Alligator mississippiensis: one gene and its partners. Each later gene encodes a partner of the first gene's protein in a complex. Links are inferred from orthologs where the notes say so. Each region holds a gene or a part of one and is shown in the gene's direction. Other genes may lie near its edges. The genes, in order: MKS1, B9D2, TMEM107 and B9 domain-containing protein 1.

Region 1 (6,852 bases):
TTTGACCCCAGTAGACTTCCTGCCCCTTGGGCAGGGGGCTGGACCTGATGATCTTGTGAGGTCCCTTCCAGCCCTAATGTCTATGAAATGTTTAGGGCATCTTTTCTAGCCCCTTCTTCATACTACAGAGGTGAGCAGTGTGAACCTAAATAGGGCTGCCCAGTCGCCCAGGGGGCTGCTGAATTCCACTGCTGCTTTGGTCCAGTGAGAAGTGATCATGTGCCCTGAACTGCCTGTGTACAGGTCTGCAACTACAGCTCCCAGTGTATCCACACCTGCTGTTTTGCTGCTCGCCCATCGCCACAGGACTTGAGTGTGTCTATGGGAGATGACGATGATGTTATGAATTGTGTGCAAGTTGGATTTAAGTGAGGGAAAGTTGTGCAGAGTCACCCACACTCTTTTGTCCAGGCCTGTCTGAATCCAGTGGCATGACATTAGGTGAGTCAAGACATCTGGAGACAAGTCTGGATGCAGTAGATGGCCATCAGCTCCTATTGCACCTGAACTGATGCCCTACACTTTCCATACAGCTCTTGACAGATCTGCCTTCACAGACAGGGAGATGAGCATATCTGCTTGACCACCTGATCCACCAGAAAAGACTTTCCAGAGGGAGCCAGGTATAGCTGTCTACTCTAGTTAATAATCTGGCCCTGCCTTTACTTTTATTTCGGGGTCAGTTCCTCTAATCTTTACCCACCAGGGGGTAACCCACAAGGCAGTGGGGGCTGGGGTTTTAGGTAGACGTGCACTGATACATTGGTCCATACCGTATTGGCACTGATAAAAGGAAAATTGACATTATCCGCAATCAGCTCTTTTTGGCTGATGCAGCTGATATTACCAATAAATGCTGTGTGTATGTGCACAGCCACAGCATGCATGCAGCCAGGAATGCAGCCTGGCAGCTTGGAGAGCAGCACCCAGCCGGTAAGTATGTGGGGGGGAAGGAGCATGGGGTGGGTAGGGGTGTGCGTGTGCGGGGGGACAATTGAGGCCACCAGTGAGGGAGGGAGTGGGACTGGGGCAGGTGCTGCCCAGCTGGGGTGGGGTGGGGCACAGGGTGAAGCCACAGGCAACTTGTCTGGGGTGGGGAGCTCCCGCTGTTGTGTGCACCCCTGGGGGGAGGCATGTGCCGCCACAATTTGCATGGGGCAAAAGTGGGCCAGGGGCTGCACTGGGCTCTTTCCAGAATGGGTACTGAGCCAGGGCTGTGCCTGGGGCAGGGGAGGGTGGGGTGGGTGACTGTGGCTCTGGGAGGGAGAGCTACTGAGGAGGCTATGGTGAATTTTGGGGTGGCTGTAGCCCACCCCATTGCTACCCGCCTCCTAGTGCTACTGTTGCCACCTGCCCAGCCCCTGCTATAAAGACGCTTGTGCAGCCCCTAGCCCCAAACCTACAGTGAGCAGCCTGCCTTCACCCCCACGCACAAATCCGGAGAGACACATGCCCCCCATACCTCTCTCGGTGTGCACACAGTGCCAGGAGCTGCTCCCCCTCCCCACCCTCGGCGCCCCCTGGATGTGCTGCTGGCTCCATCCCACGCCCTGCCTTGGCTGGGCAGTGCCTACCCTTGCTCCTGCCCCAGTCCCACTCCCTCCCTCACCGTGGGGGCCTCGATCTGCCCCCCACGCTCCTTCTCTCTCTCAGTCCCTTCCCCCCCACAATCTTACCAGCCGGACGCTGCTCTCCAAGCTGCCAGGCTGCGTATTGGCAATTGGATCGGTATCGGCCGATATGGCTGGCTAATAATGAGCTATCAGTATCAGCCAAAAAATGTTTATCGGTGCAGCCCTAGTTTTAGAGTTCCCCAGACTTGCCCTTCCTCGGGCCTTGGCCCTGGCAGCACTTTCTAGGGGCTGCTCCAGCACGAGCAGTCCCACCGCAGTGACCCCAAACCCCGATCGGGTGCAGTTTTCAGTCATACCCAGGACTATCAATATATTCATCTAATAATGAACCAATGCAGAAGAAAAGCAAACTGTTTTCTACACCTACAGGTATTAAGCCCAGTCCGGACGCTAGTGGTTGCTGGGTTAAGGGCTCCATTTATGAAGCAGACAGGCTGTGAAAACAATACACATGCAAACTGTTATTGGGCTGGCCATGAAGAAACTAAGATGCACTCAAATCAATGCTGCATGTTGATTTGACCAGCCAAGATTTGATACCAGCCAAGAGTGCGAGGAGTCATGCACTGCATTCAGCAGCTGCAAGTCATAGACATTAGGGCTGGAAGAGACCCTGAAGCATCATGGAGTCCAGCCCCCTGCCCCAGGGGCAGGAAGTCAGCAGGGATCATAGGATCCCAGCAAGATAAACATCCAAATGTGTCTTGAAGGCATTCAAAGTGGGTGCTTGAACCACCTCCGGCGGCAGTCTATTCCAAACCTTCGGGGCTCAGACAGTAAAGAAGTTCTTCCTTATGTTCAGCCTGAAACGGTCATGGAGGAGTTTGTGACCATTCGATCTTGTCATCCCTTGGGGTGCTCTGGTGAACAGACGTTCACCCAGATCCTGGTGAGGACCCCTGATAAGCTTATAGGTGGCCACCAGATCACCCCTGAGCCTGTGCTTTTCCAGGCTGAAGAGTCCCATAGCTCTCAGCCTCTCATCGTAAGGTCTGTTTTCCTAACCTCTGATCATGCGCGGGGCTCTCCTCTGCACCCTCTCAAGCTTCTCCACATCCTTTTTGAATTGTGGAGCCCAAAACTGGACGCAGTACTCCAGCTGCGGCCTCACCAAGGCTGAGTACAACGAGAGAATGACGTCCTGGGATTTGCTTGAGAAGCATCTATGGATGCAAGCCAGCGTTTTGCTCGCTTTACTAGCTGCAGCATCACATTGAAGGCTCATGTTCATCTTGTGGTCAATCATGATCCCCAAGTCCCTTTCATCTGTAGTGCTAACCAGCATAGCACTGCCGAGCCTATAAGGATGCTGCAGGTTTTTCCTCCCAAGGTGGAGAACCTTGCATTTTTCGGTGTTGAACACCATCAGGTTCTCATCCGCCCGTTTCATGAGCCTGTCAAGATCTGCCTGGATCACTCTCCTGTCCTCAGGTATGGATGCTTTACCCCAGAGTTTGGTGCCATCGGTGAACTTGGTCAGTCTGCTTCTGACTCCAGTGTCCACATCATTGATGAAGATGTTAAAAAGTACAGGCCCTAGGACAGAGCCTTGAGGGACCTCACTGATCACCGCACACCACGACGATTGACTTCCGTCAACCACCACCCTCTGGGTCCTGCCGCGGAGCCAACTCCCCAGCCAGCGGATCGTGGTGAGGTCAAGGCCACAGTTGGCCAGTTTTGCCAAGAGGTGATCATGGGATACCAGATCGAAGGCTTTTTTAAAGTCAAGATATACAACATCAATCTCTTCCCCTTGTCCAGGTGATAGGTCACCTGGTTGTAAAAGGGAATGAGATTGGTCAAGCACGACCTACCGGCAGCAAACCCGTGCTGGGGATCCCTCAGGATGCTGCTGTCAGCTAGTCTCTGGCTTTTTCCCGTGCGTCGGTTGTCAGTTGTCCCATCTGGTTCAGCAGGGGTCCAGTGTTGCCCTTGCTGTTCCTCCGGCTCCCCGCAGATCTGAAAAAGGACTTACCGTCCTTGATGCTAGTAGCCAGCTGCAGTTGGCTCGCCTGCACGACTGGGCTTTTAATCTGCCGCTTGCCTTGGTGGGTGTGCGGATGGCACCCCGGTGCAGCCAGGCGACATCCGTGCGCGCCTCCCGCGGCGCTGTGGGGGCGGAGGCCCCTTCCCCCGCGGCGCTCAGGCTGGAGCCCGGGGCGGGGCGGGGCGGGGCGGGCGCTGGGCCGCAGACGGGGCGGCGCCCGCCGTCTCCATGGTTGCGGCGGGGCCATGGCGGAGCCGGCCTGGAGCACGGACACGGGCGGCGCCGTCTACCGCTCCCGCGACCCCGTGCGCAACCTGCGCCTCCGGTGAGGGCCCGCCCCCCTTCCCCGTCCCCGACCCCGTCCCCGTCCCCGTCCCGCCGGCCGCGGGCTCACCGCTCCGTGCCCTCGTGCCCCCGCCAGGGTGCGGCTCCAGCGCGTCACGTCCACCGGCCTCCTCCTGCAGCAGCTGCCGCGCTCCGCCGGCCCGCCGGGGAAGCAGCTCCTGGGCCCGGCCACCCCCAGCACCGCGGCAAGTAGGTGGCGTCGTCCCCCCGCAGAGACCTCCTCAGAGCCGGCCGCCCCAGCCACGTCTCCCCGGGAGCCTCAGGGCCTGGCGCCCTGCAACCCCCGGGGCCTCTCCGGGCTGAGCGGGGCCTCTGCCGGCTTGTCCTAGCCTCTGCTTTTGCCCCTGGCAGTCCAGCAGTGCGGTGACACCCGGGTCCTGGCCATGGATGTGGTGCTGCAGCACCCACTTCTCCCCCCCACACTGGGTCCGTGCTGGGCAGATGTTAGGAGCCAGGTTTCTACAGCCAGATTGACCCGGTATGGGGGGGATGTTAGGACTCAGCTGCTCCTGCTGCTTTTCCCAGTGACTGCGCAAGGAAAACACCTGGCGCTGCTGTTTCCCCCTCTGCTCGCAGCACGTTCCCCCGCAGCCGTGGGCCCTTCAGCAGCTGTTTTCCCCTGCTGTCTTTTTTTTTTTTTTAATTGTGTTCTGAGCCAAATCACGTCCAAATCCATGAGTCGGGCCCGAACCATATGTGGCTCTACAACCAGCGAACATCCTCCACCTGCCGGGGCTTTAGATCCTTCCCATGTCTTTTGGCGGGCATCAGCCTGGAGGCTTGGGGTTTGGATGCCCCCAAGTTTCGCTTGCCTGCAACCATGTGGTGACAGGAGCAAGCTGGGGAGGAGCCTCCCATTTCCATAAAATAGGCATTAAGCCCCAACACCTCGGTGGGTACTAAACCGCGCCAGAAGAACAGTTATCCCTGGGAGGGCTTAAGGAAAACTGCCTTCTTGGACCCAGATACATGGCGTTTCCGCTGCCAGGTAAGTTTTCCCGTGCTGTCATGGGGATGAGCACCAGCTATAGACCACAGAGAAAAGCAGCAGTGGTGGGTGCTTTCCCGGCCTAGCTGCTGCAGAAAGCACTAGTGACAGCAGCTGGATCCTCACGCCTGCCCACGGTGCACAAGCCCACCTCTGACCTGAACTGGGTCGGTCTGGCTTGCAACCTGAAAAGGTTTCGCCCTCCCCAGGCCATCAAATGTTTCCTCCCAACTAAGGCAGGTCTTGCCTCTCTTGGGTTCCTCTGGAGCAATAGGTGGGTTTGAGATTCAAACTGAAGTCTTTCAAGCCAGGGTGATGCAAGTGCAACCAGCCTAAGGGGCTGTCTCTTTGGGGCTGTCTTCACGAGGAAAAGCAGTTGTGTTAACGAGGGTGTCGTGTACTTACTGTTAGACATAGGACTGTTCAACTCATGGGGCTCTTTTTCTTTCCTGCAAACGAAAAGCAATTCCTCCCTATCGTCTAGTTTTATTTCTAAACTCAGAGACCCACAGAAAGCAAATGATGTCCACAGGGAAAAGCAAATTCCTTGGAATATTTGTCAAGGGTTCCCAAGTACCTCTATAGTATGGACCATGTCTTAATCCTCCATTGGACACTTTCCCTTGCATTTAGTCCACTCTGTTTACTATCACCTAACATGCCAGTGGCAGCTACAACCGCTTACATGTAAAAATGATATGATAAGGACTTGATGCATTTGTAGTTTCTTTAATGTGGTATTAGAGCTGGAAAATATACAGAAAAGTGTCCAGCCTGGTAATTTGTCTAGATCAGGGGTTGGCAACCTATGACTTGCAGGCTGAATCGGGCCTGCAGAGCCATTGAATTCAGCCTGTGGACATGAGGCTTTGGTGGTTGACGGGGCTTCAGCTGCGAGTACTCTTCCCATGCCACCATAGAGAGAAGCACCGGAAGCCTTGCTTGGATCTGAACGTAAGCTTCTTGCTCTCTAGGTATAAGTGCTTTGGGAATTCAAAATGTGGCAGTGTGGCTACCTTGTGAGTTCCAGATGCTGCCCGTAAAACCAAACAGAATGGAGAAGAAATGTTCAAAGGGCTCTCTTTGCTCACAGTTCTGAAGCAGGGTCAGAGGGTCAAGTGAGATATGAAACAGTGGTCTGACACCTCTTATCTTCTAGGTAGCTGTCTTGATGATGAGGAAGAAGAGGCAGTGATTGGATGGCAGGAGAAACTCTTCAGTCAGGTGAGCCAGTGGAAGAGTGGGAGGACCTTGCCAGCAGGAGCCTCTGGCATCTTCTTCAAATGGCGAAGAGGAATAGAGGTTCCTGTGACTCCCAGTTGTGCTGCTGCAGTTTAGAAGGGGTGGCTACTCTCTGATCTCTTGTGTGGTCAGTACCAAATTAGAGAACAGGAACAAGCAGAACTGGTTTCTGATGTACTTCTCGGAGGCTTTTCAATAATATTTTCTCCCAGTGTGTGTGTGTAAACAACAAAAGTACAGCTTGATTTCTGTGAAATATTTTCAGGGCGGAGGTCTGAATCTGTGTGTAAAGCACAGCCTTAATGTTTCCTTCTTAATCTCACAAGAATTGGCCATCTTAATTTTTGCATAGTTAGTTTCTATGAAACTTCCTTAGATGTTGACCAAATGGTAATGCATCAGCCTTTTTTTCACAAATATGGTTCTCCTATAGATAGGGGCTTTTTGTCTCCAGTTGAAACATGGCTGTGACCTAAATTTTCACCATTTTTTTGATGGAGCTATCCAATTTAATACTACAAAGAATCTGTGTACTTCATTTGATTACAGCCACTAAAGCACTAAATCAACCTTAGCTCAGTCCTGCATGCATGTATTTGAGCAGCTTTATTCAGCCAAGTAATTCCATCAGAAGGAATGGAACTCCCTGCATG
Region 2 (7,905 bases), on another chromosome or scaffold:
CTGCAGGGTGGGAGCGAGGGGCAATGGCGCGGTTGGGGGCTGTGGGTCAGGAGCGAGCGGCACCAGCGGGGCAGGGGGGGTCAGGAGGTCGGGAGCGCAGGGGTCTCACCTTGGGGGATCTGGGTGGCGAGAGGGGATGAGATGGTGACGAAGTGCAGGTCACGGGAGCCGTAGTGCACGGGCATCTGCCGGCCCTTGCCGGGGTCGCCGGCGTGGCCGTAGCACTGCGCCATGAAGAGGTCCAGCGGGTACCCCCGGTACATCAGCACCCCTGGGGCACGGCGCCACGTCAGGAGGCACCGTCGTCGACCCCCGCCTCGAGGGGCTGGGGGCAGCCCCCCTGGGGGGGGGTCACAACAGGGCTTTACCTGCCTCGCGGTACTGCCCGAAGACCAGGTCGGTGGGGTCGAGCGCGGCGGCGCTGCCCACGTGGGTGCCCTCCTCCCCGTAGTTAGTCATGTAGAAGGAAATGCGGCCCTGGCAGGGGGGAAACCGAGGCAGGTGGCGCCGGGAGCCCAGCCCGCCCCCCCCCCCCCAAGGGACCCGGGCATCCAGGCGCGCCTCACCTGGCGCTGGGACTCGTACAGGATGCGGTCCATGGTGTTGAGCAGCGTCATGGTCTTGTAGAGCTTCAGCACCGTCTCGGCGGGCAGCTGCGGGCACGGGGGGCGGGGTCAGCGCGGGTGGGCGGCGCCCCGGATCCGTGACCCCGGGGGTCGCGCCCCCTCACCTGGGGGTCCTGGCTGGGGTTGAGGATCTGGCCCTGGCGGTCCATGACGCGGTAGACGGGGATGCCAGCCAGCACGTTGGGCTGGATGAAGTCCAGCGTGTCCACGAAGGCGGCCGAGGCGCCGGGGAACTGGGGGCGCTCCGCCGGCGACGGGAACTCCTCCTGCTGCCTCGCGGCATGCTGGGAAGGGGCGCCGTTACCCATCAGGCCCCGCGGTGCCCCCCCCAGATGATGTCACGGGCCCCCCGAGCTGTGCGGGGAAGGGGTGGGCTCTGCCCTCCATCTACACCCGGGGGGGCTGGTGTTTGGGGCGGTCCCTGTGCCCCCCCCCCCCCCCCCCCGGCACCTCCTGGACCAGGGTGCCCTTGGGTGCGGCAATGTCAAGGCCGCGGGGAGGGGCCAGCTGGGGGAGGGGGGGCACGCCCCCGGTGCGGACCAATCAGTGGCCGAGGCTGGGGGGCGTGCTTGCCACCTGCCCCAGGATGGGGGGGCTGATACCCCTCTGAGCTGCCAGGGGGGCTAAAGCCAGCTCTGCCCCCCCCAAAACAGGGTGGGGGTAACTGCTGGGGGGGCAAAGCTCATCCCGCCCCCCCAGGAGAACCCCTGCCCCACCCCACTGTGGGAGGATTGCCTCCCCACACACGTGACACCCCCCTCGCGTGCCCCCCACCTAGGGGGGATGTGCCCCACCAGGCCCCGCCCCCGCCGAGGCCCCGCCCCGCAGGCCCCGCCCCCGCGCTCACCCCCGTGCGCAGTCCCCGCAGCTGCAGGAGGCGCAGGCCCCTCCGCATGCCACAGGCCGCCGCCATCTTGGTGCGGGCGCGGGGGCCGATGGGAGAAGGGGGAATGGGGGTGTCACCATAGCAACGGCGTGTCTCTGCCCTTTTAGGGAAGCCCCGCCCCCACGGTGGCCCCGCCCCATGCCTACGCGGTGTGCTGATTGGCTAACGAGGAACAACGCCACACCCTGTCAGGGAGAGGGGGCGTGGCTTCGCGCACCCCGCCGCGCTGATTGGCTGGGCCGCGCCCGGCCCCTCTGTCAGGGAGAGGGGCGGGGCCTGCACCCATTGGGCGCCGTGATTGGCAGGGGCGCGTGCTTCTCCGGCCTATCCGGGGTAGGGGCGCCCAAGAGGCGCATCCATTGGCTGCCGTGCGTTCCAGCCCCCCACCCGCCTCGAGGGGCGGGGACTGCGCGTAAGAGACGCTGCGATTGGGCAGGAGCCGCGTTGGGAAGGAGGGGAAGGCTGCCCCGGAAGCGGAAGCTGCGCGTGCGGGCGGCATGGGCTCGGAGCCGGAGCCGGGCTGCGCCCTGCGGCCCTTTGCCGTGGAGCAGGGGCTACTGTCGCGGCCCGACGGCTCCGCCGCCTTCGTGCAGGGTGCGGGGGCGGGGCTTCGAGCGTGGGGGCGGGGCTAAGGGCTTTCCCCGCCCCCGTTGACCCCGGTGCCCCGCAGGCGACACGTCGGTGCTGGCGGGCGTCTACGGCCCGGCCGAGGTGCGGAGCAGCCGCGAGAGCCCCGAGCGCGCCGCGCTGGACGTGCTGCTGCGGCCCAAAGTGGGGCTCCCCGGTGAGGTGACCCCTGACCCCGGGGTCATTCCCCGCCCTCCACCTCCGTGCCGTGGGGGGGAGGGCACGGGCTTCTCCCCATCACGTGACGGGGTGGGGGCGCCTACAGAGGCCTGGACACTTGGGTTTTGCACTGGGGGGTGATGCCCTCCCTGGAGGGTCACGGGGGGCGGGGCTTCCTGCTGACCCTTGACCCCCCGCAGGCGTGTTGGAGCGGAGCCGGGAGCAGATGGTGCGGCGCGCGTGCGAGGCGGCGCTGCTGGGCGAGCTGCACCCCCGCTCCTCCGTCACCCTCGTGCTGCAGGTCGTCAGCGACGCCGGCTCCGTATCCTGCCCTGGGGGGGGCAGAGATGCACCCCCCCTCGTCATCGTTCAACCTCGCCGGGCCCCCTGGGAAGGACGGGGGGTGGGGTGGGGGTGAGGCTGCTCTAACCGCTAGGCCCCGGGGACCGGGTCGTTGGCCTTGACCCCGGGCCCAGCTGCTGTCGTGCTGCCTGAACGCCGCCTGCCTGGCGCTGCTGGACGCGGGGCTGCCCCTGCGCTCGCTCTTCTGCGGGGTCACCTGCGCCCTCGCGCCCGACGGCGCCGTCGCTCTGGACCCCAGCGCCCGCCAGGAGAAGGTGGGGGGGGGTGTAAGGGATGGGGGAGCAGATGGGAGCCGGACGCCTGGATTCTCTGGGAGGGGGGCGATGCCTCGTGCGTGGAGTAAGGGGGGGGCCTAAAATCTAGGACGGGATCGCTCCTTGGTGTGAGGCTGCAGGAGGAAGGGGGGCTGCTGGGGGGCAGAGGGGAGCCTGCACGCCTGGGGTCACACTCTTGCCCCGCAGGAGGCCCGGGCGGTGCTGACCTTCGCCTTCGAGAGCACGGAGAAGAGGTTGCTGCTCTCCACCACGCGCGGGGCCTGCTCTGCCAAGGAGGTGAGCGCCCCCGTCGTCCCCGTTAGGCTGGGGGTGCTCGGCAATCCCAGCATGCCTTGGGTGGGGTCCTGTCTCCTGGGGGGGAGGGGCCTGGCTGCCTGCCTGCCTGCCTGTACTGGGGTCCTAGTGCAGCCCTGACCTCTATTCCTCCTCCCAGTTACACCAGTGCCTGGCTCTGGCTCAGCGCGCCACCGACACCATCTTCCAGTTCTACCGTGACTCGGCCAGAAGGAAGTTCTCCAAGAGCTGAGGCCCCTGCGGGGAGCCGGACCCCCGCAGACCCGGGGGGGGGGGGGGCAAGGACATGCCTCAGGGCAGCAATGGGCAGCTGAACTGAAGGTGGGGGGGGGCTGTGGGTCGGGAGTGAGGGGCAGCAGTGGGGGCGGAGGGGTGGGAGTGAGGGGTGCTTCCGCCCAGGGGCTACCCAGTGTTCTGGTGGGATGGGGGGGCCTGCTCTGGCATTGGGGTCCCCAAATAAAGAGCACACGGTCTGTGCTGTTGCCCCCCAGCACCCAAGCATCTGTCTTGTCCTTAATGACACATGTTTTTTGTGGTTGGTTACCTGTGTGTGTGTGTGTGTGTGTGTGTACACACGTATACTGGTGGCTTCCCCATCCCCGGGGGGGGGTGGTTCTCTCCACCTTTCCCTACCCCCACCCCCAGTCTTCCCCTTGGTTCTGGTCACGGGCAGGGGGCGGTGGGTTGGGGGTGAGGGGCACTGGCTGGACTGGGGGGCAGGGGCTGCCAGGGGGTGGTGGGACCTGTGCTCTCCACGGCTGCTGTGGCGCTTGGGGCGGGGGACCCGTTAGCTGCATTTAATGAGCTCTGGGGGTGTGGGCAGCATCCTATCAAGCCTCTGCCTAACAAGCCTGGCGCTGTGGCTGGGCTCTTCGTTTACCGACAGCCCCAGATCTGGCCCGGACCCCTCTCGAAGGCAGGGGTGGAGGCCCATAGGGCTGCCAGGCCGCAGAGCGAGGGTGCTACGTGCAGACCTATCTACCTCTGGGCCTGTGCTGCTGGGGCGCAAGGGAGGGGGAAGTAGGGCCCATCCGTGGCCCTCAGGGCATTGGCAGGGCACCTCGGGCTGCCAGCAAGGCTGTTGCTGGAAAACGTGTCCCCAGGGCCATGGCCTGCCCCAGGTGTACAGTGAGGGGCCGTGGCACCCCACAAAACAGCCACCCTGGGGCTGTGGCACCCCCGGGTGGCTGCCATGGGGCTGGGGCAGTTCCACGCTGGCCGCCCTGGAGCCATGATGCCCCTCTTAAGGCAGCTGAGACCTGTGGCTCCCTCACGGGGGTTTCCATGGCGCTGTGGTACCCTAAAGGTGACGGTGGTACTCTGGGGTGGCTGCGGTGGAGCTGTGGCACCCCCATGAGGGTGGTCATGCACGGCGGCATCCTAGAGTAGCTGCCCCTGGGCCCTGCCACACTCAATATGGCGGCGGAGCCCCTCCCCCGGGCCTGTGACCCACCCAAGATGGTGGCGCTCTCCTATTGCGGCCAATGCTGCTTTGCCACACCCAAGGTGGCGCTGCGCCCGGCCATCGTGCTCCCTTCCCACGATGGCGGCGCTCTCCGTGCGGCAGTTCGACCTCCTCAAGATGGCGGGCAGCGCTCTCTTCCCTTCCTCCCGCTCTCTTGGGCGGGGCTGCGAGTGATACGTCAGCGCGCTCGGTACTCCGACCAATCAGAAGCCGGCATTCCGCAGGGGCCTGCCCGGTTGCCGTGGCAGCGGCATCCGGAAGTGGTCCGGAGTGCAGGGGCGAGTGGAGTCCTGCGGGTGCAGGCGCACGTGTGTGCATAGGGTGAGGGTGCAAGAGGGGTGTGCAAGGGGCTTTGCGCGGTTAGTGTGCAAGGGCGTGTGCACAGGTTGAATATGTAAGGGACGTGCACGGGACAAGCGTGTAAAGGAGTGCGCATAGGGGGAGCGTGCCAGCGGGTACAACGGGCTGGGCCGGGTGTGTGTGCAAGGGTGTGTGTGTTGCCAGAGTATGTAAAGGAGTTGGCACGGTGAGTGTGCAAGGATGTGTGTCGGGTGAGTGTGCAATGGACTTTGCATAACTGCAAGAGGGGAGTCATCACGTAAAGCGTGCAAGGGGCTTTGCACGGTGAGTGGGTGAGGGGTTAGGCACAAGTGAAGCGTGCAAAGGGGCTGGCATGGGGTAAGTGTGCAAGGGGGCACGCGCAGGGTGGGTGAGCGAGCGAGTGCGCGTGGCGACATGCATGGGGGTTGTTACACTGAGTGTGCACAGAGTGAGTGTGCAAGGTAGGGGGTATGTGCGGGGGTGCAGACACAGGTGTGACAGATGTGTCCACATGTGCAAGCTGGCAGGGCCCCGGGGGGCACGGGGGGGGGGGCACAGGTCAAGGTACAGGGCAGTGGCTGGGGGGTGGGGGCAGGGGGTCGGTGTGCGGGGCGGGGCAGGGGGCCGCAGGGCAGTGGGTGGGGGCAGGGGTCAGGGTGCGGGGCAGTGGCTGGGCGTGGGGGGGGGGGCACCGGCAGCTCGTCCCCGGGGTGCTGAGCCGGGCGCGGGGTCCGCAGGCCATGGCCGAGCTGCACGTCATCGGTCAGATCGTGGGCGCCAGCGGCTTCCCCGGCACCAGCCTCTTCTGCAAGTGGGGCATCCACGCAGGTCGGTGCCCGCCCCCCCTCCCCCCCCCCCCCCAGTCTCGTGGCTCGGCTCAGCCTAATGAGGGGTGAGATGCCGGGAAGGGGGAGAGGGGGGCTTCCCGGATGCCTGGGCTCCTCGGGATGGGAGGGGTCCGCGGGCAAGGAGCAGGCGGAGGGGGGGGCCCAGACACCTGGGAGCGGAGGGGGCCGAGGGGTTGCAGGCCTGGGCTTTGCTCTCCCCCCCCCCAGCTAGCAGTGGGGTGTAGTGGTTAGAGCAGGGGGCTCAGACACCTGGGTTCTCTCCTGGACTTTAGGGCCTAGTGGTTGTTGGGGGGGGGGGTGAGGGGTTCCCTCCCCAGGCCCAGCAGAGGAGCAGGGCCTGGTGGTGGGAGCGTGGGGGCAGGTGGGGGGCGGGTGCCTGGGTCCCATCCGGCCGTGCCCCCCTGGCAGGCGGCGCCTGGAAGCTGCTGTCAGGGCTGCCGGAGGGGCAGACGCAGGTGGACCAGCCCCAGCTGGACGACGTGGCCTACTGGTGCCACCCCATTGACGTGCACTTCGCCACCAAGGGGCTGCAGGGTGAGAACCTGCCCCCCCCCGGGGGCATTTTGGGATGGGGGCGCAGGAGCCTGCCTAATCCCCTCTTGCCCCTGCCCCCTCAGGCTGGCCGCAGCTGCACCTGCAGGTGTGGCACCAGGACGGGTTTGGGCGCACGGAGCTGTACGGCTACGGCTGCCTGCACGTGCCAGCGGCGCCCGGCTGCCACACGATCGCCTGCCCCACGTGGCGCCCGCGGGGGTCGTGGCCCGAGCGCCTGGCACAGCGCTTCGTGGGGGGGGGCCCCCAGCTGCGCCAGCCCCAGGCTGCCGCCGCCGCGCCCGAGCGCCACCGCCTGCGCACCACCGCCGCCGGCACCGTGCACCTGCGCCTCGGCGTCCTGCCGCGCCACTTCGCCCGCTACGGCGTTGAGTGCTAGCACCACCCCCCCCCACGGGCGCTCCCTGAGGACCCCCAGAGTCCCCCTGACCCCCCAATGCCCCTCCTACCACCTGGGGCCCCCTATAAACCCCCCCTACAGATCCCCCCCACGGGATCTCCCTGTCCCTCTTACCCTCTGCCCCCCACAGCCCCCCCATGCTTGCCATGGCCTCTACCTGCATCCCCGTTCCCCTGTGGCTACACCTCCCCCCCCCCATACCCCTCTTACTCCCTGGCGCTTCCCAGAGACCCCCACGGCCCCCCGCTACTGCCCACAGGTTCCCCCTGCCCGCCCACTATCCCCTGGCCCCCCCACAGAGCCCCCCACAGTCATTCCCTGCCCCCATTCCCCTGGGGCCACACCCTCTGACCCCCTGAGGCTCCCCATGGACCCCCCGCGGGCCCCTCCTGCCCCCCCAGACCCACCCTGGAGGTTGGGAAGGCCGAGGGGCTGTGGCTGGGGGCGGACAGAGGCCCCCCCACCGCGCTGCTGGTCTTGGCGCTGATGTGGGGCCAGACCCCCCTGCACTAGGATTCCCTCCCGGCTCTGAGACCCCCCCATTTGTACAGACCCCCCCTCCTTTTTCTATAAAGGCTCTTTTGTACCACGAGGTCTCGGGGGGAGTTTGTCTCTGCCCAGAGGTTCCCCTGGGGCACCTCCTGCCCCCCAGGGGCAAAAGAAGCCCCCTCCACTAGCTGCCATGACCTCCGCGCTGCCCCACCAGGGGGCGCCCTGCTGCCGGCTCCCATCCCCCCTGTGCCCCCCATTCACCCCTGCCATGGCTGGGCAGAGACCCCCCCTCCCCCCCGCCCAGTCCCATGGCTCGGCTCAGCCTAACGAGGGGTCAGATGCCGGGAAGGGGGGCGGGGGGGGGCTTCCCGGATGCCTGGGAAGGGGAGGGGTCTGCGGGCAAGGAGCAGGGGGCAGACACCTGGGTCCTCTGGGAGAGGGGGGCGGGGCGAGGGGTTGGAGACCTGTCTTTGCCCCGCCCCCCGCTTGCAGTGGGGTGTAGTGGTTAGAGCAGGGGGCTGCCTGCTGGGCCCCGGGCCTAGTGGTTAGAGCGGGGGGGGGGAGGGCAGGAGCCCTGGGTTTCCCTGGGAGCTGCGG
Region 3 (7,662 bases), on another chromosome or scaffold:
GGCGCCGCTTCTCCAGCAGCGGCTTCAGGAGCTGCAAGGAGGGAGAGGGGAGGAGGCGGCGGGCGGGGGCCGGGGGTCCCGGGAGAGTCGGGTCGGGTCGGGTCGGGTCGGGTCGGGTCGGGAGTCCCGGGGGGTCGCGGGCCAGTGGGTCGGAGGTCCTGGAGGGTCGGGTCGGGGTCCCGGGGGGTCGCGGGCCGGTCGGGTCGGGGGTCCTGGCGGCCGGGGGCGGCGGGGCCGGGCCGGGCTTACCTTGCGCTCGCTCTTGGGCGCGGGCTGCGGGCGGCTCATGCTGGCTGTGCGGGGCGGTCCGGGCGGCCCCCGCCCTAAGTACCGGCCCCCGCCCCCCCCGCCGGGGCGGGGCGGGGGCACCGCACGTGCGGGGCGCGGGGCCCAGGAGTCCGGAGCACGCCCCCCCTCTCCCCCCGGGGCTCTGGGGCACCACAACCCAGGCGTGAGAAATGACACACGCACACGCGGAACCCAGGCGTCCGGGACACGCTGTCCCGCACCCCCGCCCCCGGCCCCATCTCCCTCCTCCCCCGAAAGAGGTGGGTGGGGTGGGGGCGGGCAGGACCGGGCTGGGAACCCGGACACCGTGTGTGTGTGTGTGTGTGGGGGGGGGGGTGCGCCCGTGTCCCGAATATCTGTGTGTGTGTATGTGTGCACGTGTATGTGCCCCGAATATCTGGGTGTGTGTGTGTGTGTGTGTGTGTGTGTGTGTGTGTGTGTGTGTGAGACGCCCAGGTTGCGATGGGGGCCCCGGACGCCTGGGTCCCCTCCAGCGATGGAAGCGGGGGGTCGCCGGCTGTTCCCGTGGGAACCCGCGGCGGCGGCGCTTTGATCCGCTTCAAAGCCGCACGTGCGCCCGCGGGGGGTGGGGAGGGTGGGGACACCTCCGGCCGGGCTGGGACCGAGGCTGGGGCACGTGCCCGGGCCACACGCGTGTGCAAACGCCGCACGTCCGCGCCCACGGGGCCCCACACGGGGGGGGCGCGTTCGTGCCACGGACACACGAGTACACACACAGACATGCACACACACGGGCACGCGCACACATGTGACCAAAGGCGCACACACGCGCGGGCACACACACATACCCATGTATATGCACACACCCGGGCACACACATACACACAGCACAGGGGCACACACACACTATGTACACCTGGCACGCAGACACAGAGGCACACACACGCCCGCGGGCACCCATACACACACACACATGCGGGCACACAGACACGCACACACACACGGGTGTGCACACACACACAGACCCACAGGGGCACACACAAACACATACAATCCGACACGCTCATACGCACCAGGGCACACACGCTCACACATGCACACTCGGGCACATGTCCATGAGCACAGGGACACACACACACACACACACACACGGGGTACAGTGCTCCCCGACCCCCCCCCCCCGGGCCAGGCAACCCACGTGACCTGGGCGCGGGGCGTCCTGGGGTCTGCTCCTCCCCCCCCGGCTGGCACGAGCCCCCCCCCCCCTCCCGCCAGGTGTGAACAGGCGGCCCCGCATCTCCGGAGTGTGTCAGAGCCGCGGGGGGCGGGGAGGAGTGTGAGATCCGCTTCACACCTGGGTGTGGGGTGCATGTGTGAGTTGCGGGGGGCGTGTTTCTGAATGAGTGTTCATGTCTGTGTGATGCCTGGGTTGTGTGTATGTGTGTGTGTTTGTGACGTGGGTGTGGGGGATTAGATGCCTGGATTGTGTGCCTGGGGTTTGTGGGTGTGTGAGATTCCTGGGTGGGGGAGAGACAGAGAGAAAGAGATATGCCTAGGATTTCTGTATGTGTGTTGGTGTCTGTGTGATGCCTGGGCTGTGTGGGTTTCTGTATGTGTATGCATGTGTGTGATACGTGAGTTGTTTGTGTTTCTCTCTGTGTGTGCATGTGATACCTGGGTTGTATGTGTGTGTGTGGTGTATTCCTGGGTTGTGTGTGTTTCTACATGTGTGGGTTTGTGATGTGGGGGTGGGGGTGTGATGCCTGGGTTGTGTGCCTGGGTTTTGCACATGTTTGTGAGATTCCTGGGATGTGTGTTTCTGTGTGTATGTGTGTGCAATACCTGGGTGACGTGTGTGCATGTGTGCATACCGAGCAGTGTGCACAACTGGAGGCTCCCCCTCCCACACTCCCTCCTCCCAGCCGCTAGCCCTGCCCCCCACCACACGCGTGTGCAAGCATTGCATGTCCGTTCCCATGGGGCCCCACATGGGGGGGTTATGTTTATGCCATGGGCACACACGCATGCAAACACAAGGGCACACAGACACACATGTGGACACACAGACACACATGCATGCAAGGGCACATGCAGGCATATACACACGCATATATGCACACACAGGGGCATGCAGACACACACACACAGGTAGGCATGTGCACATGCATGCAGGCACACACATGCAGACATGCACACACAGGGGCATGCACACGCACACAGAAGGGCACACACATGGCACACAGGCTTGGGCACACACACACACTTGTGGGTGTATACACACACATATGGGCACACGAGGTGCAATATGTCCCTCACTCCCATGGCCGGCACGAGCTCCCCTCCTCCCTCTCCCCCCCCCCCCGTGTGAACAGGCGGCCCCGCATGTCCGGAGGGGGGGGGAGTGTGAGATCCGCTTCACACCTGGGGGGGTGTGCATGTGTGAGGTGCCTGGGGGGTGTGCACACGTGCAAGAGTGAGGTGCCTTGGGGGGGGGGTTCTGAATGTGTGAAGTGTGTGTGAGGGGGTGTGATGCATGGGTTGTGTGTATTTCTGAATGTGTGTGACATGGAGGAGGGTAAGAGAGAGAGATGCCTAGTTTTGTGCGTGTGTGTTTGTGTCTGTGTGATGCCTGGGCTCTTCCATCCAGGAAGAGCACACACCAACTGCTGAAACTTCCTTAGCCTGACGAAGGGTTTTTGAACCCGAAAGCTTGCTTAATAACTACTCTCCAACCATTTGGGTTGGTCTAATAAAAGATATCAAATTCACCCAAGGAACCTTGCCTGCCTATGCCTGGGCTGTGTGTGTTTTTGTATGTGTGTGTCTGGCTGTGTGTGTTTCTGTGTGCTTGTGCGTGTAATACCTGGATTGTGTGTGTGTGAGATGCCTGGGTCGTGTGTGTTTCTATGTGTGTGTGTGTTTGTGATGTGAGTGTGGGGGTGTATGTATGAGACCTGGGTTGTGTGTCTGGGGTTTGTGTGTAAGAGAGATTCCTAGGGTATGTGTGCGTGTGTGTGCATGCATGTCAGATGCTCGGGGTGGGTGTGTGCTTGTGCACGTGAGAGATGCCTAGGTTTTGTGTGTGTGCGCTGCCTGGCTTGTGCATATTTCTGTTTGTGTGTGCATCTGTGTGTGATGCATAGCTTGTCTGTGTTTCTATCTGTGTGTGTTTGTGATGTGGGGGTGAGGGTGTGATGCCTGCGTTGTGTGCCTGGGTTTTGTGGGTGTTTGCGAGATTCCTAGGTTGAGTATGTTTCTGTGTGTGTGAGTGAGTGATGGCATGTATATGTGGGTCTATGTGTGTACTGGGAAGTGTGCACAACTGGGGGCTCCAGTACTGCAGGGCTTCTCCCCCCCCCCACGCATGCGCGCACACCCCCTCCCCCCGGGAACTCCCCTCTGGCCCCTTCCCAGCAGGTGTGAACCCCCCACGGGAGCTGTCAGCGGCCCCATGACTCCGTCCCCCACTCCTTGCAGAAAGGGAAACTGAGACTCAGGAGGGGGCGCCTGGGCTGCCCGCCCCCTCCCCCAGGTGCCAGCAGCACCGAGACGGCGCGGTGGGGGAGGGGAAGGCTGTGGGGACCCCAGGGACACCCATGGGACCCAGGTGTCCGGGGCGGACGGAAGTACATGCACTCAGGCACAAACCCCAGATGTCCAGGACACACACATACACACACACGCGTGTACAAACTCTTGAGGCATCCAGGACATAGACCCATACATGCGTGGAAATGCACTCACGCACAAGCATGCACACGTGTGCGCTCAGGCATAGGTAACCCAGGGGGCTCAGACACACACACACACTCTCGCAGATGCATGCAGAAAAAATACAGGCATCCAGGACACACACACATGCACACCTATGTGCACAGAGAACCCAGGTGTGTGGGACACACGCACAAAACCCAGGCATTTGTGGGGGACACACACATACAAACAGAACCTAGACGTCCAGGACACACACACACAATCCAGGTGTCTGGGAGACAGAGAACCCAGGCATCCAGGGCATGGACACCCCCCCCCCGCCAGGTGTCCCACACACATGTACACACACACAGAGCTCAGGTGTCCAAAATGAACACATACATGCACACATACACTATCTGGGACACACACGCGCACAAACACGCACACACATGCACATACCCACAGGCACACATACATATGGACACCCCACACACCCACCCATACATACACACGGGCACACGTGGTGCAGTGACCCCCCCTCCAGGGCCAGGCACCCCACGTGACCTGGGCAGCGGGGCCTCCTGGGGGGGCGGCACGAGCTCCCACCCAGGGACCCCGGGGCGGTGTGAACAGATGGAGCAGGGAGGGGGGTCTCCGGAGTGTCGGGGGGCGGGGCTGGGATCTAAGGGGGACGGGGCAGAGAGCATGTGACATGCCCCTTGTGTGTCTTTCCGTATGTGTGCGCATGTGTGTGTGTGAGATGCCTGGGGAGTGTGTGTGTGATAGCAAGTATGTGTGTGTGTGTGTACCAAGCAGTGCGAAAACTGGGGGCTCCAGTAGGGCAGGCTCCCCCCGCCCGGAACTCCCCTCTGGCCCCTCCCCAGCCCCGGCAGGCGGGACCCCCCACGGGAGCCGAGGCAGGCGACGAGGAGGACGATGCGGACCCGGAGCAGGGGCTCGGGAAGCCCGGGCCGCGCCAGGCAGGGCCGCTTTTGCCCAGTTGTATCACGTTACATTTACCGCGCGTGCCCGCGCCGTGGCGGCTGCACTCCGGCGGCTGCCTCAGGGCCCGGGGCCAGCTGGGGCTCCCAGGGGTCCGGCAGGACGGGGGGGGGCGGGGGCGGGACGTCTATGGCGTTGTGTCCTGGCAGCCGTCCTGGCACGTGCGCGGTCGGCACACCGCCCCCGCCAGCCCCGGGGCCGAGCCCGCAATTGCCCGCAGCTCGCGGGCGCGCGTCGTAGGCGGGGGAATACGGTAGCCGGAGACTTCGCGTCGTAGGCGGGGGGCGGGGGGTGAGCCGCCCCCGTCGCGGGGCGGGGTCCTGCGCTTGGGGCCCCCATCGTAGCACCCCGTGGGGGGGGGGGCAGCATTAACCCCTCAGGTGCCAGAGCCCGCAAGGGGGGGGCATTTGCCCATGGCGAGGGATTACCCTTCTTCCACGGGGGGGTGCTGCCATTTGCCCATGGGGGGGACTTTCCCTTGCGGGGGGAGAGCTGGTGCCAAAAATGCCCCCCTCCCCGGCAACTATGGGGGGGCAGCCCGACCCCGCGCGCGGAGCCCCCGGGGCATTTCGAGCCCGACGCCTTCACCGCTCGGGGCGGCCACGTCACTCCGGGTATGACGTCAGCGCGGGGTGACGTCACACCGCAGGGCACAGCTTGCCCCCCCAGCAGAGCGCCGGGCGTTACCCGGGGAGGGGGAGGGGCGCGGGGGCCGCCGGGAAGGGGGCGGGGCGTTGCCGGGCACCGGCCCGATGGCGGCGGCGGCGGCGCTGGTCCCGTGGCGGTTCCTGGCGCTCGTGGCCCATCTCGTCATCGTCATCGGCGCCTTCTGGGCCCGGGTAGGGCGGCTTGCACACGCCACGCGCCTGCATTCTGCACACGCATCGTGCACGCGTATGGGGACATGCACACGCATCGTGCACACGTGTGGGACATGCACACACATCACACATACGTGGGACATGCACACGCAGGGGACACCCCCACATCGCGCACATATAGGGGCACACCTTGCACACACATGAGGCGCACACTGCCTGCAATTGCAGGCAACACGTGCACACCACGCACGCTCATAGGACATGCACATGCATCATGCACATGCATGAGACATGCACACACATCACACAAACAGGGGAGATGGACATGCATCATGCACCCCAGGGGACACACCTGTGTCGTGCACACATAGGGGACGTGCAGCTTGCACACACATGGGTTGCACACTGCCTGCCACCACAGGCAGCGTGCACACACTGTGCACACTCATGAGACACCTACACGCAGGGGGCATGCCGCACGCCCATATGGCTGCACCCGGGGGAAGAGGCGCACGCTGTGCACACACACGGGCCTGGCGGGTGAAAGTGGGGGGGGGTCCTGATGCCCGGGGTCCCTGCAGCGCGGCCCCCCCAACCCGCGTGCCTCTGTCTGTGCCGCAGGAGGACAACGTCCGGGCATCGCTGCCCCTGGACCACACGCCCGAGGAGTACGGCCGCCGCGACACCGAGTGCGTGCCCACCCGGACGTACCTGGGGGGCCGGGGGCGAGAGCAGGACGGGGCTGGGAGCCTGGACACATGGGGCCTCTCTGCTTTTGGGGGGGGGTCTTGAAAGCCCCCCTGCTCTGGGTGCTGGGACGGGAGTGAGGACCAGGGGGTGAGAGCAGGGGGCAACTGGGAGCCTGGACACCTGGGGTCTCTCCAGGCCTGGGAGCTTGCCAGGCACCCAAGGGGCAGGGGGCCCGATCCTGGGCCCACCCTCTTCCTCCCCCACCCTTGCAGGCTGGTGGTGGCCCTGTCGGTGACGCTGGGGCTCTTCGCGGTGGAGCTGGCTGGCTTCCTCTCAGGGGTCTCCATGTTCAACCCTCTGCAGGGCCTGCTCTGTATCCTTCTACCTCTTTTTTGGGGGGGGGTCTCTTTTGGGGGGTCTTGCCCTGCAGCTCCGGTTGTGGCCCCTGACACCCCCCCAGCCTGCGGGGCCCACGTGGGCGCTGCCCTTGCCCTCCTCTTCGTCCTCTTCGAGCAGTGGGACAGCGCCACTTACTGGGGGATCTTTGCCTGCGGCAGGTCAGTGCCCCCAACCTCCCTTCCCCCAGACCTGGAGCGGGGAGGTCTTGTCCCTTGCCCCCCAGCCAGCAAGTGCCCCTGGATCAGGCCTGGATTGGGGCCCCCTGGAGGTGGGAAGACCCCTGCCCCCCCCCAGCCAGTGGGTGCCCCAGATTGGGCCAGCACCTCCCAGAGGTGGGAAGACCTGTGCCCACCGCCCCTGCAGGCAGTGGGTACCCCTGGATCGGGGGCCCCTGGATGTGGAGAGATCTGTGCCCTGCCATCAGGCCCAGATCGGGGCCCCCTGGATGTGGAAGACCCATTTCCCCCCCAACCAGTAGGTGCCCCCCCAGTCAGGCCCTGGATCAGTCCCCTTTGGATGTGGGAAGACCCCTGCTCCCCCCTAGCTAACAGGTGCTCCCAGATTAAGCCCAGATCGGGGCCCCCGGAGGTGGGAAGACCCCTGCCACCCCAGCCAGCAAGTGCCCCTGGATCAGGCCCGGATTGGGGCCCCCTGGAGGTGGAAGGACTCTGCCCCTCCCCTCCCCGGTAGCAGGTGCCCCTGGATCAGGGCTGTCCGGGTCCCGGGTGCTTTCCCTGACAAGCAAGCGCAGCACTGGGGGCGCATTGTGGCGCAGCCATCAGCCTCTCCCTCTTCCTGAGCGCGC
Region 4 (7,209 bases), on another chromosome or scaffold:
GACACCTGCACTCGTCGCACACTGTGCTCAGCACTGTGATGTCTGATAAGAGGAGACCTTGTAGGAGGCTGCCCTAATTTGCACCCCTGGTTAGCAACCGTTTGGGAATCGAGAGCTTGGAGGTGACAGGTTGCCCCAAGTTTCATCTGGCTAAGGTGGCTTGCAAAGCCTGCCTGCGTGCGGACACGAGCCGTCTCACGTATCTCATGTTTGCCTGGCTGCATGGCTGAAACGTGCTGGCCGGTGCATGTTGTGTCCTCGAGCCGTGAAGGATGCGGGGCTGTTATGGGGTCCGACTTGGCACTGGAGTTCAGACTGGAAAGGCCTGAGGTCTTGTTCACGCTGGGAAAAGATAACTGGAGTAGCTGTACCAACCAGACACCCCAGGGAGAAGCTACTTAGGCACACCAGTTCTTTTACTGGTGTATAATATACCAGTTCCCTGACTAGACTATGGGCAAAGGCCCGATCCTGCAAGTATAAATGTCCCTACACTGGGGCTCTTGCCAGCACCATGATGCAAATGTAGATGTACGTGACTTATTTTTCCCCCCACAGTATCGTCCATCATCGCTGGGAAAACTTTTCCAAGTAGACTGGGAACCTCAGCAGTCAGTGCCTCCAGCTTCTCAGCCAAGATGGTACTTCTCACCGGTGGGGAGCAATATCTCTTCCCCTCGTCATTCAGCAATAGTCTCAGCAGATCCCAGCAACGAGCCCATCTCAGCACTTCACCCTTCTGCAGGATGAGAGGTTCTGCTAAAGGAGCTGTGGTTGTGTTCATCCATTTCTTAAGCTGTCCTCCCCCATGAAATGCACTGTAAATCGTCTCCTTGGACCAATGTGCAAATCCCCCTCCTAACTATATGGCTCCCTAAAGCGCTCAAATATGGACAGTGAGATTCTCCAAAGTTTCTACGCCCCTAAATCCCACTGAGTTCAGCGAGAGCTAAGCACCTAAATATCTCCAAAAACCTGAGCTAACGCTGTTCAGTTATGGTGAGCGTGCAGGGTTAAGAGTTACTCTGCCCTCTTTGTCTTGTAAAATATTGTGGTGCCTTTAAACTTTTCTTTCAACAGCAATGTAAGCCATATTTCCTTTTAATGATAGGAGCAGCCCCACAACTGGTAATCCGCTGGTGGCATCTAGTGGCAGTCAGCAGCGTTACCTATTTATGCGGCAGCAAAGTTTAGATTTTCTTTCAGGTGCCGCAAGTCCAAAAGAAACAGGCTTATTCTCTGAACGTTACATTTTCAAATCAAAATATTTGTTTTGGAACCAAGTGAACATCGAGGCTATTTTTCTCTGGCAGAAACAAAAGATTTTGCAATCATCTCTTGGACGCCTGCTAGAACTGGCTGGGTTTTGTACAAGGAACGTTTTGTTTCTCATGCGGTCAGGCCGCTGCCTTGCGGATCTGATTGTAGCCGCCCACTGGATATCGGAGAGCAAAATGGGATTTGCTTGACCTGATTCTTATCAGAGGTTTACACCATGTGTCGAATAAATAAGTCTAAGGGCAAGCCCAGTGTCCAGATGCGTTGGATGGGGCCTGCGGCACTTGAATATACGATCAGGTTTGTATGTATATGGTGGCTTAGGTGAAATATAAGCAGATTCAGTAGACAGTGGTCTAGACACTCAGGGTAAGTAAGGCATGAGATCAAGTTAGGCCTCCAGTTTTTAAACTTTAACCCAGGACAGCTGGCAGAAGTTATGGTGCACCATGCCACTGCGTGCCGAAAGCAGGAACGGGTCGATTTTGAAGGTGTGGGGGGATGAGGCTGCCCACTCCTTTCAAGACAGTGCCTTCTCTCTGCCTGGCCCCAACCTACGCACTTGCCCTTTCTCCTCCTCTCCCAGCAAATCTACTTCTCCCACGATGCCCACTTTGTTCCAGGCCTGTGTGACGCGCCTAAAGCTTCATTCTTGGATGCCACTGTGTGGAGACAACCTTTAAACTTCCTTTCAACCCGAGTCTGACTTTTTGAACAGGCCAAGCGAACTGAACAGAGACACTGGGCGTGTCTATACGTGCATGTACTGTGCAGCAAGTTACTGCGCAGTAAGCGGTTTTTAGGCCAGCATCTACACGTGCAGGCGTTACAGCGTAGGAAGGCTGTGTGGACTGACTTGGGACTAAAGTTAGTCCAGAGTCAGTCCACACACAATGTTACTATGCTGTAACGCCTGCACACGTACACGCCTGCACGTGTAGACTAACTAAAGCTAGTCCCAAGTCAGTCCACGCACAACGTTACTATGCTGTAACACCTGCACGTGTAGACTAACTAAAGTTAGTCCCAAGTCAGTCCACACAGTGTTACTGCACAGTAAGGCAACTACACGTGCCTTACTGCGCAATAACTAATTGGGCATAAATTTCCTACCTCAATCATGCAAGTAGCAAATTTACACCCAAGTCAGCCTAAGTCGCCATAGTAACTGCACAGTACGGGCGTGCACGTGTAGACACGTGCCCGTACTGCACAGTAATTTTCGGTTACTGCACCGTAACCTAAATTATTGTGCGGTAACTGTGCATGTGTAGACGCACCTACTGAATGCATCCAGGTAGATTAGTGCTGGCTCCTAGAGTTAGCTGTGCTGGTTCGCCTTCTCCACTGGCTGCCCACCATCTCGAGGGACTCATCTGGTTTTCCAGAACAAGGAAATACTTCAAAATAAACCCCTAGCAAAAGGCTGAGACAGAGTCCAGAAACAGAGATACAGGGAGGTTTCCAGGGACTCAAAAGAGCCCAAAAGCCAGCTCATCAGATCCCCTTGAAAAACCAGTTTGTTTCCAGCGTGGGCTTCAAAAACACAACACGCAGCCACCTCTACGTTCTCTTAATAGTGTATCTATTTTTTAATAACTTGCTTCACAGAGAAGCCGGGCTGGAAGGGATCTCCAGACGTCACCAAGGGATCCTGAGGCAGGATCATCCCTATCTGACCCATCCTATATGAATCCATCATCTAAATTGGACAGAAGAGCTTCTGCCATCCTAGCCGGCGACCAGCGGGGTATTTTCACCCCATTTCCAGCTTCCGAAGGAGCTCTGTGAAAAGCAGATGGGAGGCAAGGCGTTTTGAAACGGCAGGCGGTCTTCCCTGGTGAAGAAGAATAGGGGTTTTGACTGCAGGGGTGCCAACTTCCTTTGAATCTATTCCAGGAGGTTTCATCCCGTGACGGGACAACATTCATTACGGTGCGCAGACTTCACGTCCGGAAGGCCGGTGCACGGGACGCTGACATTTTACAAACCCCACCGGACTACTGTACAAATCAGATTCAACATTGCATATTTATCCGAATGAATGCCCTCTCATTTATCCTCCCAGCGACTCTCAGTCATCTCCTAGGGGTTTATATCTAATTCCTGGAGATGCCAGGGCAGTCCTGGAGGGTTGGCAATGACAACCTCGTCTTGAGGAAGGTGGAAGAGGCTTTCCCTAGGATCTGGGGGCAGAGGAAAGCCGTACGCCTGCTCCCCAAGCTTGTCACACTCCGACAATGCCAGCCCTGGGTTTCATTTGGGGTTGCTTCTTGTTTTGTTTTGGGCGGTTTTTTGACTCTAGGAAAACCTGCCTCGGGTTTCACTGTTTCTAGTAAAAAACCAAAACAAAAAAAAACCAAACAAAACAAAAATCCCAAAAGGGACCAGCCTTGGGTTTTACTTTTTCTAGTAAAAAACAAAAAAAAAAACCCCAAAAAACAAAAACCGGAAAGGGACCAGCCCAGGTTTCACACTGTCTAGTAAAAAGCAACAACAACAAAACAAACACACAAAAGGGACCAGCTTCACATTCACTTTTTCTAGTTTAAAAAAAAAAACTCCTAAAAAACAAAACAAAACAAAAAAAACCACAAAAGGGACCAGCCTCAGGTTTCACTTTAAAAAACCCAAAAAATACCCCAAAAGGGACCAGCTCAGGTTTCACTTTTTCTAGTAAAAACAAAAAACAAAGATACAAAAAAAGGGACCAGCTCAGGTTTCACTTTTTCTATAGAAAAGCAAAGCAAAGCGAAGCGAAGCGAAGCGAAGCGAAGCCAGGCGGGGTTTGATTGCGAAGCGCTCCGGACAGCCCGCAGCAGGGCAGAGCGCTCCAGCCCCGGCGCTGGCCCCGCCCCTTTGGCGCAGCGCCGCCCGCGAGGAAGTGTGTCCCCTGCGCCTCGCCGTCCGGTATCTAAGGAGCGGCGCGACAGCGGCCCTTAGCAACGAGCCGGGGCGGGCCGCCCGCCGCTATGGCCGCTGCCGCCAGCCCCAGCGTCTTCCTACTCATGGTGACGGGGCAGATCGAGAGCGCCCAGGTAAGTGCGGCTGCACTCATGCGCCATTACACCCCCCCCCCCCCCCACGTTGGAGTCTGGGGTGACCGCCCCCTTCCTCGGGGCGCCCCCTGTAGGCTGATGTCCCCGACTCCCCGCAGAGCGCATGCGCCATTGCACCCTGTGCCGGGCAGGACGCCGAGCCTCTGCAGAGCACATGCGCTGTTGCGCCCTCTGCTGGGTTAGTGCTCACGGGTCCGGTTCCCTGGAGAACGCATGCGTCATTGCATCCTCTGCGGGGCACGAGTGGGGGGGAGGAGCTTGCGCAGAGCGCATGCGCTATTGCGCCCCCTGCTGGGCTGGAATGCAGAGAGCATGCACCAAGTTGGGCAGCAGGGTGGAGGGGGCGCCCTGGGCAGGGGGCAAGGGTGGGAGGGGCATCACCCCATTATTGGTGGCGTGTTTTACCCACCAGGTGGGATTTGCCCCGGGATAAATTCTTTTCTCCCAGGATCATGCAAAGGGATGAGCCCCCTTGACGTCTGTGGGAAGCATCTGGACGGCAAGTCCGATCCAGGACTTTGTCCCCAGACATATCCCACCCCTGCACTCACCCCGGCTGCACGGTGACCCAAAGAAGGGGGTTTGCACCCGAAAGTTTGCAAAGAAAAATTGTTCCATGTCTTCCATTTGGTCTAATAAAAGATACCGGATTTACCCAATGAGCCTTGTCTGTAACATGACCCAAAGAGTAATGGCAATGAGCTCGAACTAGCCCCGATCATCCGGGGGGAAAGGGCTCCTCTGGGCTACTGATTAGACAACCGATTAGATTCAGATTTCAGCATTTCTCAGGCAACCCCAGCGGGACTGGCCGTTCGTCCACATCAAGTACGCAGGAAGCGTCCAAATTAATGCTTGGCCTTGGGACGCTCGCAGCTAATTCAAGTTCATTGCCATTTAACCCTGGTGTTCAGACAGCTGAGCTACATCTTTTAACGTGAGTCAAATCTCAGGCGAATCAGTTTTAATGCGAGTCAAATCTATCAGCCGTGGATTAAACCTGTCATCTGTTTATTACCCTCAAAGACTTGACAGGTGCTTAATATGGGACGAGGAGCTTGTAAATCTGTAGGATGCCAGGATTTATTTTATATATATATATATATATATATATATATATATATATATATATATAAAAAAAATTATATATATATATAAAATAAATCCTGGCATCCTACAGATATATTTAAAATTTGTATCCAAGGCCAAATTAGCCAAAACTAATTCCAAATCCAAGAGTGCAGAACCATAAGTGGTCCTACTACTGGCAAACATCCTCCACCTGCACCTGGGGCTTCAGATGTTTCCAAATCCTTTGGTGGGCATCCCAATGGCAGACCCAAGCCCGGAGGCTGGGGGTTCGGATGCCCCCGAGTTTTGCTTGCCCTTAGCCATAAGGCCCTTGGAGCAAGCAAGGGAGAATGCCAGGATAAAAGGCTTTGTCCCAGGATAAATTGGTCAGCTGTTCACAAACTTGAAATCATGCATTTCCCTGAGATGATCGTAGAATCATAGAAAGTTAGGGTTGGGAGGGAGCTCAGGACGGCACAGCTAGTGCAACCCCCTGCTCAAAGTAGGACCAGCCCCAACTACAGCATCCCAGCCAAAGCAATGTCTAGCCAGGTTTTGAAAATCCCCAAGGATGGAGACTCCACCACCTCTCTGGGTCACCTGTTCAGTGCTTTACTACCCTCCTAGGGAGAAAAATCTTCCAAATATCTAACCTGAACTCCCCTTGCTGCAACTAGAGCCTGTTGCTCCTTGTCCTGTCATCTGCCCCCACTGAGACCAGCCCAGCTCCATCCTCTTTGCAGCCCCCCTGCAGGGAGGTGAAGGCTGCTGTTCAATCCCCCTCAGTCTTCTCTTCTGCAGACTCAATCAGCCCATTTCCTTCAGCCTCTTCTCACCAGTCCTGTCCCCAAGCTCCTGAACCATTTTTGTTGCCCTTCGCTAGACTCCAACTTGTCCACATCCCTTCTGTAGTGGGGGCCCCAAAACTGGACACCGGACTCCAGATGTGGCCTCCCCAGTGCTGACTAGAGGGGAAGAATCACTGCCCTCCATCCTGCTGGCAATGCTCCTACCAACGCAGCCCAGGATGCCGGTAGCCTTCTTGGCACCAAGGGCACATTGCTGGCTCATATCCAGCTTATTGTCCGCTGTCACCCCCAGGTCCTTTTCTGCAGAGCAGCTGCCCAGCCAGTCACCCCCAGCCTGCACCAGTGCATGGGATTGTTCAGTCCTAAATGCAGGACTTTGCACTTGTCCTTGTTCAACTTCATGAGATTTCTTTTGCTCTAGTCCTCCGATTTGTCGAGGTCTCTCTGAATCCTAGTCCTACCCTCCAGCATATCTACTACTCCCCCCAGTTTGGTGTCATCCACAAACTTGCCAAAGGTGTGCTCTATGTCACCTTCCAGGTCAATGAAGACATTGAACAAAACCAGCCCTGGGAACAACCCCTGGGGCACTGCACTTGATACCGGCTGCCAACTAGACATCGAGCCATTAAGCCTGATGCTCCAGCGAGTTTTCTATCCACCTTGCAGTCCATTCATCCAGCCCATGACTTCCTTAGCTTGCCTGCGGGAATGTTGTGGGAAACCGTATCAAAAGCCTTGCTAAAATCAAGGTACACCACATCCACCGGTCTCCCCACATCCACAGAGTCAGTCACCTTGTCAAACAAGGCAATCAGGTTGGTCAGACATGACTTACCCCTGGTGAATCCATGCTGACTGTTCCTGATCACCTTCTTCTCCTCCAAGTGCTTAGAAATGGATTCCTTGAGGACCTGCTCCTTGATTTTTCCAGGGACTGAGATGAGGCTGACTGGTCTGTAGTTCCCTGGATCCTGCTTTTTTCCTTTTCC

The links.
Region 2: MKS1 (region 1) and B9D2 share a complex: the UniProt entries of both Homo sapiens proteins name them as parts of the tectonic-like complex. The link is inferred for Alligator mississippiensis from reciprocal best matches to the Homo sapiens genes MKS1 and B9D2.
Region 3: MKS1 (region 1) and TMEM107 share a complex: the UniProt entries of both Homo sapiens proteins name them as parts of the tectonic-like complex. The link is inferred for Alligator mississippiensis from reciprocal best matches to the Homo sapiens genes MKS1 and TMEM107.
Region 4: MKS1 (region 1) and B9 domain-containing protein 1 share a complex: the UniProt entries of both Homo sapiens proteins name them as parts of the tectonic-like complex. The link is inferred for Alligator mississippiensis from reciprocal best matches to the Homo sapiens genes MKS1 and B9D1.

Annotation. Positions count from the first base shown.
Region 1 is NC_081837.1:29,523,834-29,530,685, reverse strand, and holds the start of MKS1 (tectonic-like complex member MKS1), read left to right. Parts: upstream 1-3,839; 5' UTR 3,840-3,852; coding exon of another isoform or gene 3,853-3,869; coding exon 3,870-3,949; intron 3,950-4,045; coding exon 4,046-4,162; intron 4,163-6,116; coding exon of another isoform or gene 6,117-6,120; coding exon 6,121-6,181; intron 6,182-6,215; exon of another isoform or gene 6,216-6,852. UniProt on the Homo sapiens protein: Component of the tectonic-like complex, a complex localized at the transition zone of primary cilia and acting as a barrier that prevents diffusion of transmembrane proteins between the cilia and plasma membranes.
Region 2 is NC_081838.1:1,541,097-1,549,001, reverse strand, and holds B9D2 (B9 domain-containing protein 2), read left to right. Parts: upstream 1-4,899; 5' UTR 4,900-5,319; intron 5,320-5,753; 5' UTR 5,754-5,756; coding exon 5,757-5,844; intron 5,845-6,272; coding exon 6,273-6,398; intron 6,399-6,481; coding exon 6,482-6,795; 3' UTR 6,796-7,405; downstream 7,406-7,905. Other genes in the region: BCKDHA (2-oxoisovalerate dehydrogenase subunit alpha, mitochondrial), read right to left, coding at 110-271, 369-477, 567-653, 731-910, 1,474-1,539; EXOSC5 (exosome complex component RRP46), read left to right, coding at 2,010-2,106, 2,183-2,296, 2,499-2,620, 2,775-2,915, 3,123-3,212, 3,370-3,462. UniProt on the Homo sapiens protein: Component of the tectonic-like complex, a complex localized at the transition zone of primary cilia and acting as a barrier that prevents diffusion of transmembrane proteins between the cilia and plasma membranes.
Region 3 is NC_081838.1:25,049,579-25,057,240, forward strand, and holds the start of TMEM107 (transmembrane protein 107), read left to right. Parts: upstream 1-4,658; 5' UTR 4,659-5,699; coding exon 5,700-5,786; intron 5,787-6,389; coding exon 6,390-6,457; intron 6,458-6,730; coding exon 6,731-6,831; intron 6,832-6,918; coding exon 6,919-7,015; intron 7,016-7,550; coding exon 7,551-7,656; coding exon of another isoform or gene 7,657-7,662. UniProt on the Homo sapiens protein: Plays a role in cilia formation and embryonic patterning. Requires for normal Sonic hedgehog (Shh) signaling in the neural tube and acts in combination with GLI2 and GLI3 to pattern ventral and intermediate neuronal cell types.
Region 4 is NC_081836.1:55,341,164-55,348,372, reverse strand, and holds the start of B9 domain-containing protein 1, read left to right. Parts: upstream 1-4,206; 5' UTR 4,207-4,250; coding exon 4,251-4,316; intron 4,317-7,209. UniProt on the Homo sapiens protein: Component of the tectonic-like complex, a complex localized at the transition zone of primary cilia and acting as a barrier that prevents diffusion of transmembrane proteins between the cilia and plasma membranes.